Linked DNA regions of Drosophila melanogaster. The protein of the gene in region 2 interacts with the protein of the main gene of each other region in a pairwise test. Each region holds a gene or a part of one and is shown on either strand. Other genes may lie near its edges.

Region 1 (3,756 bases), 5.4 Mb from region 2:
TTCCCCCTTCCACAGTCAATGAATACCGCTTGACGCGCACGGAGGAGCCCTTCCAGGAGCTCAATCGTAAGTCCGTGGCTCTCAAGGTGATCCTCAGCCGCATACCCGATGAGATAAACGACAGGAAGACCTTCCTGGAGACCATCAAGTAAGTAAAAACTCAAAATGAAGCTAAAACTCACTGCATAAGCTTAACTGATTAATGAATAATGAAATTTTACTGCGTTTTACAGGGAAATCGCCAGCGCCATAAAGAAACTACTCGATGTGGTCAACGAGATCGGCTCGTTTATACCTGGCGTAACGGGCAAGCAGGCTGTGGAGCAGCGTAAGAAGGAGTTCGTCAAATATTCCAAGAAGTTCAGCACAACGCTGAAGGAGTACTTCAAAGAAGGACAGTAAGTATTAAGAATCACCTGCAGTGATTATTTACTATATGTGTTATCAAACGATACGCTGCGACGCCATGACAGCCGGTTTCTTTAAATCGGCTCATATCTGGTTTCTTATCGTTTCGGGCCAACCGTTGAGATGATGTCATTCCATTGGCATTCCGGGTATTGTTTGGTTTATCATTTTGCGCCGGAGATTCTGAGGGGCGGATATTAAGCCGGACCCCCGCCCATTTTAAATTGTAAATTGCTTCGATTACGTACTAATGGCTATTACCGCTGACCTTTTCATGAAATTGGGGCCAAATTGCATTACTAATTCAAATTGCTTCAGCAAGGATTTTCTAACCGATTCTCTTTTATTTTATCTATTTTCAGACCGAATGCAGTATTCATAAGTGCACTTTTTCTAATACGGCAAACGAATCAAATAATGCTGACAGTTAAGAGTAAATGCGAGTAGAGAATTAAATCCTTTAATTATGGCAAATTAATTAATTAGTGGCATTTTAATTTTATGTTTAAATAACCATTTAACATACCAAGACCGAAACAAATCAAATAAACTCAACACACTTAAATACAAAATCGCCCGACGCAGTCCAAGTTAAATGTTTGAACGTAAATGAAAATCTGTTGTAACTAAATAAATAGGCCTAATTTATATCGTATATACATATGTATTACACATACTCGGACACAAAATTTTGCGAAGCCTAAGCATTGTAATTAACTAGTGAGCAACTATTTATGGAGACGGACGATGTGTGCGAGAGTTTATTTTTCGTTTACAATTTATTGTAAATAATTCATTCTTTTTCTGTTAACAAACAACATCGGCTAGTTTGTTTTTGTTTAGGAGAAGCGCCTACGAATAAATTTAAAATTAGTGGAAAAAAAACGAGAAACAGGAAATGTATGTACTACGGGGAGATGACAAACAAAAACATTAACGGAACACTTAAATTTTTAACTGTTTTTAATTGTTAGAGTTTGAAATTTAAACACTATACATAATAATCTTTTACTTAATGATATGTTCTATTTGAAAACTGCGAAAGCGAAAGACATTAGTGGCCGACAGCACTATCAACAGGATGGAGAAAAAATTATTTTAATTAATAAAATGTTATATGAAAATCGAACACTAAGCAAAAGTAAAAGAACGGCAACAAACTCATAATGTAGACATAGCGAAAAGAAAACGACAAATAAATGTATTTATATTCCAAAATTGAAAAGAGTGTTTCATATTTAACCAATTTACGTAAAATTACTTTATAATTTATAGTATTAGGTGTGGTATGATGTGGAAATAATTGTTTTATATTACCCGAGAATTGATTTCGAAAATCAGAGATTGGTAAACTGAAATCAAAATCTCAGATTTACACGCACATGTCGTTAACAGAGGACAGCGCTGTTAACGGATAACAGCCAAAAGTAATAGTAAACCCCCAATAACAGGCCCTGAGCAGAAATTTACCCAGTTGCAACCCCAAAGGAGTCCTTCTGAGAGCGGGAGAGAATTGCCCGTTTTTCAGTGTCATTTGGCAGAAAAATCGATTCCCCGCACACTGAATAGTGGGCACTGGGTACTGAGTGCTCGGCTCTGGGTTCTCTGGGCCACTCTGCTCTGGCACACTGAGCACCGAGCTGGCAGTTGGGTAGAAATCAGAGTGCGCCAGCAGCGCGACCGAGATGACCCACTTTTCGGTATTCGCACTGAGACCCAACTGCTACTACCCACAGAAAGTGGACAACTAGGCGGAGTTTTTTTCTATATAGTAGCAGTGAAACGATCGCGTTTTTCGGATATATTATGTACAGCCTACGTAGCCTAGTGTAAACTATATGCATTTATGTGAATTTCCCAGCGCAAACGTGGAAGAGGAAAACAGGCGACCTGAAAAAGCAGCAGCAGCAGCAAGCAAGAAGCAGAAGCACAAGCAGCAAAAAAGGTTCGCAACCCGTTCAAAAGCCCCCGAATACAAAATATTACAAAAAGTTAACCCAAAAAGAAAGGATAAAATCCTGTGCTTCCGAAAACGAAAACCGCAGTTTAAGCAAAAAGTGTCAAAATCGCGTGGTAAATACTTATTTTGCGCAAGCTGAAAAAAAGAGCTGTTATGCGAGCGAGCGAGCTCACGAAAAATTTCGCTGTACACCAAATGTTTGCCCAACAGCACCGCTGCTGCGTGAAAATTTCATTTTCTCGCCAATAACGTGAAAAAGCTCGCCGCGAGTGCAGTTAAAAAATCCAGTGAAAGATATAATGATTCCGGGAAAATGGTGGGACAGTGAAAAGTAAAAGTGTAAGCATATCGATAAAGGCAAAAAAAAAAAAAAAATACGAAAAAGAGCAGCCAGCGTAAAACTACACTCTCCCACACACACTCACATGCATACATATATCCAAACATATACATATACATACTCGCCCACATGCTGATGCATATACAATATGCAAATGCGGGTAATCACTGTAAAACCGAGGCAGGCGAAATGGTGAATGAAACCGAAATTATAGAAAAATGCCTAAATAAAATCGGAGAAATTGGCTAAAAGCAGAGTTCAGCTACATTTTGGCACAAAAAAGCGCGCACCCACACACACTCACGCATACACCCGCCACACACATACAGAGAAAGCGAAAAGAGCGAGAGGCATGTAAGTAAAGTAGATGTAAATGGCCAACGAAACTGGAGCAGCACCAATACCACTGCAAGTGCCACAACGGCAGGAGCAGCATGTGTGTGTGAGCGTTTCATATTCATAAGCTTCCAGCAGCACCAGCAGCAGCAGCAGCAGAAAAGTCCCACTTTTTGGGTTCGCACTCTGGGGGCGGTTTTCACTTCACACTTGTCCCACAGCCTGCGCAACAACAATGTTAAAGTTGTTTGCTGCTGCGTGCGTAACACACATACTACATACAGTGTACACCCACCACACACGTTCGTGTGTATGTACGTATGCATGTACATATGCATACATATATATGTACACTAAAGGTATCTACAGCGTGCATGCGGTTACCGTTACCTTCTCTGGAGCGGTGTTTTAATACCCGTAACAGCACTTTCCACCGATTGAATGCTTTCACGTATTTCGTATATATTTATAGCCCACTGTACTCAGTTTCCACTGCAATGATCGAAAGTCACGCGTCGATGGCCTGGTACACGTTGCGGATACTTAATACAACATTATCACAACCTAGACGGGCTTATTATGAAAAGAAAGTCTTCATAGCTTCCTTCTATAAATATGTAGTTTTTTCTGTAGATGAATTAAAACATAATTGGCCAAATTTAAATTAACATGTTGCATATGTATTTAATACATGAAGAACTCAAATGTGCAA
Region 2 (3,756 bases):
GACTACTAATGAACCGGCTGCTGCTGCTGCTGCTGTTGCTGTTCGTGCGGCTGCTGTTGTTGCTGCTGCTGCTGCTGCTGCTTCTCGGCGGCCTTTTGCTGCGCCTTAATGAACTCCGGATAGTCGATGTAGCCGTCGCGTGAGGTGTCGTCCATCTGCAGGATGGGATCAATGAGGGCCACCAGCTCCTCGTCGGAGAAAACCTTCTCCTCCACATGCGGCTTCTCACCGTTCGGCTGCTCCTTGCTGCCTTGCTCTGCATGGCAATGATTTGTTATGGCGGATGCGAGATGGATTAGCATGAGATTCGAGCATGACCACAACCATAACCGGAAACAGCCCAGTTTTATTACGCATATGCAAAGAAGTAGAACAGAATAGTGGGTCAAACAAAACGAAATACAGAAACCACAAACGCAACTCTAACCAGCGAGCCAGATTAAAAAGCAGTAGCTATCTTACCGTGCCAATGGATCAGCGATTTGATCAGCTCGCAGCCGTCCAACTTGTTGTTGTTGTCCGAGTCGTGCATCTTGAAGTAGTGGAACTGCAGCTCAGCCTCGGACATCTTGCTCGTATCGATTGGCACTTGCATGTGCTCCTGGATGTGACTGAAATTGAAAGAGTAAGGTTTGGTATTAGATCCAACTGATCGTTGATTTGGTTGAAGAAATAGATCAGCCCAGAAATATTATGTAAGTACTATGTCTAATTTACTTTTAACATGGAACTTTTGATATATAATTTCTTTAAATGCGAATGGAAACATTTGCTGTATGAAAATGTCACTATGCTTAATTTATAGACTTTTTTCCTAATTAAGCCTTAGGTTTGCGGTACAACAAAATACCTCCCTTCACTTTTATGATTTATTTATGACATTTTTACTCGTATACCCTAAAGCTCCATTGATGGATAATGATTGCCAGTGGCAGTGATAAGATAGACGGGCACTTACGCGCGCTCCTGCTGAATGTTGCCGGTGTTTAGGACTTGCTGCGGTTGCCCATGGTGGTGGCCACCTGCCTGCTGGTGGTGCCCCTGCTGCGGCTGTTGCTGTTGCTGCATCGTCGGTTGCTGGTGGATTGGTTGATGTTGCTGCTGCTGCTGCTGCACAGGAACTTGCTGATATTGGACCGGTGCCTGCTGTTGCACGGGAACTTGAACCTGTTCGTATTGCTGGAAGTCGGAGGCCTACTGGTTAATTGCTTGCCATTCGGAAATGCGCATTTGCACTCACGTATTGCTGGGGCGGCACACCGGGTGCTGAGTGGACCTGTTGCTGGTACTGCGGCTGGTGGTGCTGCGGTGGTGGCGGTGGGTGGTGCTGCGGCACCTGCTGCGGCACTTGTTGCTGCAATATGTGTGGGTTAATTCCCTCATTGGCGAATGGGGGTGCTTCAAATCACTCACATAGTGCTGCGGATTCACTCCGGGAGCGACGCGCTGTCCGCTGGCCAATCCAATCAGGATTAGGGGCAGCAGCAGCTGAACTGCTGGCAATTCCGTGACGCGCATCTGCATGGAAGTGCTGGATTCTGGCGGGGATCGGATCGGATCGGTTTGGGATCTATATCGCTTCTGGTGGCTCTGTAATCACCACGTCGCAAAGACGAAACACACACGTACACAAATCGCTTCTTCTTCGCCGGTGGACATTCGCAGCGAGCGACAGCTGATTCTCAGGTAAGTGCGGACATTCGCCACGAAACGTGTGAGCGGCATGACAACACTGCGCGCCTGGGTTAGGGGTATGCGCGTAGATAATATTATCATGCTTCAAACCGAAAAAAAAAATCATAAAAACAAACTTGATGCTTCCATTTAACAACTCAAAATTTAATCAATCTAATATGTGTACGATTTCACCGTTAGGGGTTTAGTATTAGTACCCCGCTAATATTTAGCTCAAGGAACACCCCAAATGCAGTTGGGCATAATTAGGGTGTTTTAAAGATTGAAGCTACGGTCTACCGTGGACACCCTGTAAAACTTCTCTTCGTTTTCAACCAGCAAATTGACTGGTTCAGCGCTGCTCAAAATACAAAGATTTGAATATCTCGACCAGGGAAATTGCTAAATAATGGTAAGAATGCTGTTGCCGAACAATCCGCAACTACTGCGAGTCAATAGTAGTGCTTGCATTGCCCTTGCCAACACGAAATACCGTGCACGTGCGATGGCCGTTCAACCTAACCCCACTTAATCGATGTTTCCGCCAAATCCACAGGCTGCTGCACCCAAGGATATTGAGAAGCCCCATGTCGGCGATTCTGCCTCTGTGCACCGCATCCGCATCACCCTGACATCCAGGAACGTGCGTTCGCTGGAGAATGTGTGCCGCGACCTGATCAACGGTGCAAAGAACCAGAACTTGCGCGTCAAGGTGAGAATTTTGCGTCCAACTCAGGGATTTAGAGGTTGCATTTACCTGGAGGCTTTGCGTTCCCCCAGACGCTTAGCCTAGTCATTAATAAATGCTAGATAAAGTGCCAGAATCGGACATTATTCCCGCACTGATCGACTGCAGAGCTGGAATATCACATGGTTCAGGCTACAATACCCATTTTCATGAGGAATTCCTTTCTAATTCTTAAATATTCATTTATTTCAGGGCCCCGTGCGCATGCCGACCAAGACCCTTCGCATCACCACCCGTAAGACTCCTTGTGGTGAGGGTTCCAAGACCTGGGATCGCTTCCAGGTGGGTTATCCCCTATAATATATATAGTAACAAACGGGCGAATCTGATATCGTGGTTGGGCATTCAACCAGTCGCTCCACAGTATCAATGATTTGCCCAGATAAAACGTATTCTCATAGTACAATTTGTTGGTATTTCCTCACACTTTGCCTCTCTGAATGCGACAAAACTAATTAATAATGACTCAGCTATTAGCTTGCCAATGGAGTTGCATATTAAATCAATATTACATTATTCCAGATGAGAATCCACAAGCGCATCATCGACTTGCACTCGCCCTCTGAGATCGTCAAGAAGATTACCTCCATCAACATCGAGCCCGGCGTAGAGGTTGAGGTCACCATCGCCAACTAAGATCGGCAGATGCCACATTTTTACACCTCGAAAAGTTTGGCGTGCTAATAAAAACAAAGAACTTTTTCCATACACATTTGGCCAACTTTATTGTGCGAAAATTGGAGTACTTTACTGGAATGTTTTTTTATGGTAAAGGCAGTCTAATAGTAGTCGGGAACTGGGGCGCATGCAATCTTGACAAAGTCTGCATACCGCACAGTGCTATTGTTGTTCACATTGGCCTCCCGGAAGATGTTGTCCACTTCGCGCATGGACAGGCCCTCTCCCCAGTTTTGAAGTAGATTACGCAGCTGTCTGGCCGAGATGGTGCCCTTATTCTGCGGATCGGCCGCTTTAAAGGCGGCAATGACCTCGTCCGGCAAACTCTCCACCTTGGAGTGCTGATGCATGATGTCCAGGAAGTCGGCGAAGCTCATTTTCCCATTCTTTTGCTTCAGATAGGAAACCAGTTCTTGGATCGTCGGCGAAAGACCCAAAGAACGCATAATAACCTGATGACGTGAAGTTTACACCATTAGTATGTTTTTTTTTTCTGGGGTGGGAGCTCAACTCACGGTTAGTTCGTCCAAATTGTTGATTTGGCCCGAACGGGCGAACAGATAAAAACACTCACGGAACTCTGGGGGTTACAGATAAGAAATGTTTTCGGTATGAAATCATCAATTCACATTGATACGCATATTTACCATCAATGT
Region 3 (3,756 bases), about 11 Mb from region 2:
CGCCAGCGGTTGTTTTGCGGACGGCGCATCGGTGGCGAAGGACGACGCATGGGCGGCCTCTGTTTTACTAAGACAACCGGGGATACCGTAATCTCCTGGCCATCTATCTGCCCGCCATCCATATGCTTCATGGCCGACTCACAATCCTCGGGTGTGGCATATTCCACAAACGCCACGCCGCGTCCGAAGTTAGGATGAAAACGATCTACGGGAAACTCCACATTCTTCACATCCCCAAAGCTGCTAAATATCTCGAACACATGGTCCTTGGTAACGTTGCGGGTAAGCCGACCGACATGAATGCGCACCTGTTTGGGCGAAGGCGAGCGAGTCCGCGAACGGGAGCGCTCCCTTCGCTTCGGTGGCGGCGTCCTCTCAACGGAGCCGCGACCACGACGGCGTGGCGATCGTGAACGACTGGCTGAGCGAGAACGCTCCCGCTTAACATTATTGCTATCGGCGGCTGCCCTATCGTTGGATCCAGCACGGCGGGCACGATCCCTCGACCGACTACGACGATCGCGATCTCGCTCCGGCTCTTTTCGCGCCTTGCTGCCCGGTCTTGGAGATTTGGAGACACGCCTGGGGGAACGGGTGCGAGAGCGGGAACGTGATCGGGCGCTGGGCTTATCCTTGTCTTTGTCTTTGCCAGCAGCGCCGCCGCCACGTCTTCGGTTCTTCTCGCTGCGATCCGAATCGCTGGACGACGATGATGAGGAGCTCGAGGAGTCGCTGGAGCTGCTTGAGCTGGAACGCGATGACCCGGAACTGCTCCGCGAAGAGCTGCTGTCCGATGTGCTGGAAAAAGTGAAGTGTTTTATTTACTTCTCGTAACCAAGAAAACGGCAATGAAGCTGGTACAAAGTAAAACACTTCCTAACTGTGATGAAATTTTACCATATATGGTATGTGAATTTTTACAAAATCTTTTCGCTCGAAGGCTATTTTCTTCCCGTACTATCTGCTACGTTTTACAGAAGAAGAAGGACTTCCTTTTAAAAGTAACCCTTATTCCGGTTGGCAGATGGCAGCCATTTGTGGGAAAGACCTTTGCCGGCTGATTTACCTGCTTCTGGAGTCGCTGCTGGAGGACGCCGATCCGCGGCGTTTGCGTTCGCGGTCCCTGCGCGAGGAGCCGCTGGTCGCCTTGCCGTCCTTCTCTTTGGCGACCTTCTCCTTGTTGTCCTTTTCCTTCTCACCCTCGCCGGCGAGACTCTGGGCACGCGCCCTGTTTTTTTTTATTTGTCGAGAAAAGCGAGCTGTTTTAGACCATTTAGGGAGCAAAATGTGGTGCAGATACTTACATTTTCGTATTGCCGATTTGTTAAACGATTAGTTTTATAGTACCGCACACTCTTTTAGGTGCAAGCTAAAATGTTTTTATTAATAAATCTTGTTTTTCTCAACTAGAGTTAAATGCGAGTAGCGTTTTCAGTGGAGATTAGTGTGGCCGTGTTTGTGAACGTGTAAATATGACAAAAAAATAGAATACACACTTATTAAAATAAAATCCAGTTCCTTTACTTTGCTATTAAAAAACTGTTTTGCGAATATTAAGAAGCATTTTTAGTTAAATATAAATAAATTTCTTTTATAATATGCTTAAATCTCAAATTCTAGTATACAAATGTTTCTAGAGTATTTGGGATTAAGATAACAGACACCACTTGGTAATTTCTCACAGTCTCGCCGCGGCCACACTCTTTGTCAGGTCGAACCCAAGGTAAACTCCCATAAAGCGTAAAAATTTAAGACCTTTCCTGCCTAGCAATTTGGACTCGATAGGAAGTAATAATGTATACCGTGTAATATGAATAGTGCTTGTTTTCGTAACGTACGAATGTAGTGGAATTACATAAAACGCAATTGATTTAAGGCCAGCACTTTTTTATCTGCTGGTGACGAAGTGGTTGTCATTGTGAGTTCACATCCGTGTGCCTGTATGTGTGTGAACTTGTGTTGATTTTGTCCATGCGAGCAAGCGAGATAGCAAAAGGGGGCCGCGGGGGCTGGCCACAGCCACAGAGTTTCGATTTTCCATCCATATATCTACACTCGCAGCGGAAACGAGAGAGAGAAAGAGAGTGTGAGAGAGAGGAGCGCCCCGTCTGGTCTGGGCACATTTTACCACACTGCGTCTTTGTCTGCCGTCGAGTCGGGAGCTCCGCGTCTGGTGTGTAGTATTATTATTCTTAATATTTCGGATTACTCTGCCTGTAGCTCAATAGCAATATTAAAACCCCGCCCCGAATGCTTTGCGTTGAAAAACATATCTTAGTGTGTGTGTGAGTGCAAAGTGCAGTTATGTTGTGGCAGCAGTCAATGCAAATTAACCAGTGTCTATACCTCAAAGGCACATTTTTTTAGCCCCATCATCGTGTTTTGAAACGCCACAGCGCAGCGTAATTGCCAAAAACCAGCTAGCCAACAAGAGTTTCGTTGGTATACATATCCATATATTCATATAATCAATGTGTGTAAAGAAAACGAAACTAAGAAAAGCGAAAAAGAGCATTCGATGAAGTTGACTGTCATGACTACGCAATAGCAACAACAATAGGAGCTGCCAACAGACACATGTATGCACAGTAGGTGGGTCCTCTCACGTGCTCTCAGTGCCGCTCTCTGCTCTCCCTCTCTCGGTTTCTTTGTGCATCGGTGTGAGTGTGTATGTGTGTTGGGGTCCGGACTCCATGGAAAAAGCGAATATTTTGATGCCTGCTTCCTTGTGTGTATATGCGTATATTTTTTATAATTTATTGTTTTAATTTTGAGAGGGCGTAGTGTGACCCCAACTCGAACACCGACCCTGCCCAAGTATGCATAGAAGAACGCGCACACACATTTGTGGTCAAAATAATAGTTAAATTACGGAAATGTAGTCTATTTACAATGTTGAAGGAGAGCACCGAAGAGGTCGCTCTTTATATACATACATACATACATAAGTATATGTTATCGCTGCATTAAGTCTTATAATCTATGTTTAGAAATGCACTTATCTTATCTTTATAATAATATTTACCACAAATACCCTGATCAAAGAGGGGTTTTATGCCGTGACACAGTCGTTATACGAAGAGGGTGCTTCCAAAATCTTAGTGCTTCCATTTTAAAAGCATCGAAATTTATGTTATGAAAAGAAAAAGAACTTCTTATGCTAAGAATATATCACTATATAATTGCGGAGAATATCTTTGGGGTACAAATTATAGAATTCCATTATATAATATATATAATATTATATAATATATATAATATTTCTACTTAAATGTCTGTTTTAAGCAACACTAACCTTCTTCTTAGAAGAAACTTTACTCCACTTCAACATATTCAAGTAACCATTTCTCAGAGACTACAAACCAAAAATAGTTTACAGCACTATTAGTTTAACTGCAACTGTATATTGAACCACAATTACAACCATTATCGTTATGATAAACAAGCATTTGTATATTGTACTGCCTGCCTATATTTTACGTCTAATTTGCATTACATTGGCATTAATACTCATTGGCCGCAATTAAAACCAGGCTTTATATATATAGATCTATATTTTAATATTATTCCACATATACATACATTTATTGCTAACCAAACTAAACCAACCCAAGTAATTAGTTTCTCAACTGAATGTAATAGCAATGTTTTCTTTTACTTTTATTTTCTTTGTTTTAGCATACATACAATATTTTATTGCTGGTTTTGGTGGTAAATTTGCATTGTTAACGGCCGCGGCCAGACGTGCCCCGCTTC

What was found.
Region 1: the proteins of CG17271 (region 2) and Rbp interact in a two-hybrid assay, tested with the Drosophila melanogaster proteins (one large-scale study listed by BioGRID).
Region 3: the proteins of CG17271 (region 2) and mura interact in a two-hybrid assay, tested with the Drosophila melanogaster proteins (one large-scale study listed by BioGRID).

What each region holds. Positions count from the first base shown.
Region 1 is NT_033777.3:15,372,616-15,376,371, forward strand, and holds the start of Rbp (RIM-binding protein), read left to right. Parts: upstream 1-2,019; 5' UTR 2,020-2,246; coding exon 2,247-2,353; exon of another isoform or gene 2,354-3,062; intron 3,063-3,756. Other genes in the region: Ccm3 (cerebral cavernous malformation 3), read left to right, coding at 16-148, 234-398, 771-855.
Region 2 is NT_033777.3:20,820,188-20,823,943, forward strand, and holds the start of CG17271 (uncharacterized protein), read right to left. Parts: upstream 1,662-3,756; 5' UTR 1,525-1,661; coding exon 1,414-1,524; intron 1,355-1,413; coding exon 1,241-1,354; intron 1,180-1,240; coding exon 959-1,179; intron 612-958; coding exon 463-611; intron 257-462; coding exon 6-256; 3' UTR 1-5. Other genes in the region: RpS20 (ribosomal protein S20), read left to right, coding at 2,084-2,086, 2,231-2,386, 2,615-2,704, 2,945-3,058; CG17272 (uncharacterized protein), read right to left, coding at 3,202-3,552, 3,616-3,680, 3,748-3,756.
Region 3 is NT_033777.3:9,549,733-9,553,488, reverse strand, and holds the start of mura (murashka), read left to right. Parts: upstream 1-2,150; 5' UTR 2,151-2,173; intron 2,174-3,678; exon of another isoform or gene 3,679-3,756. Other genes in the region: RnpS1 (RNA-binding protein S1), read right to left, coding at 1-798, 1,067-1,228, 1,305-1,306.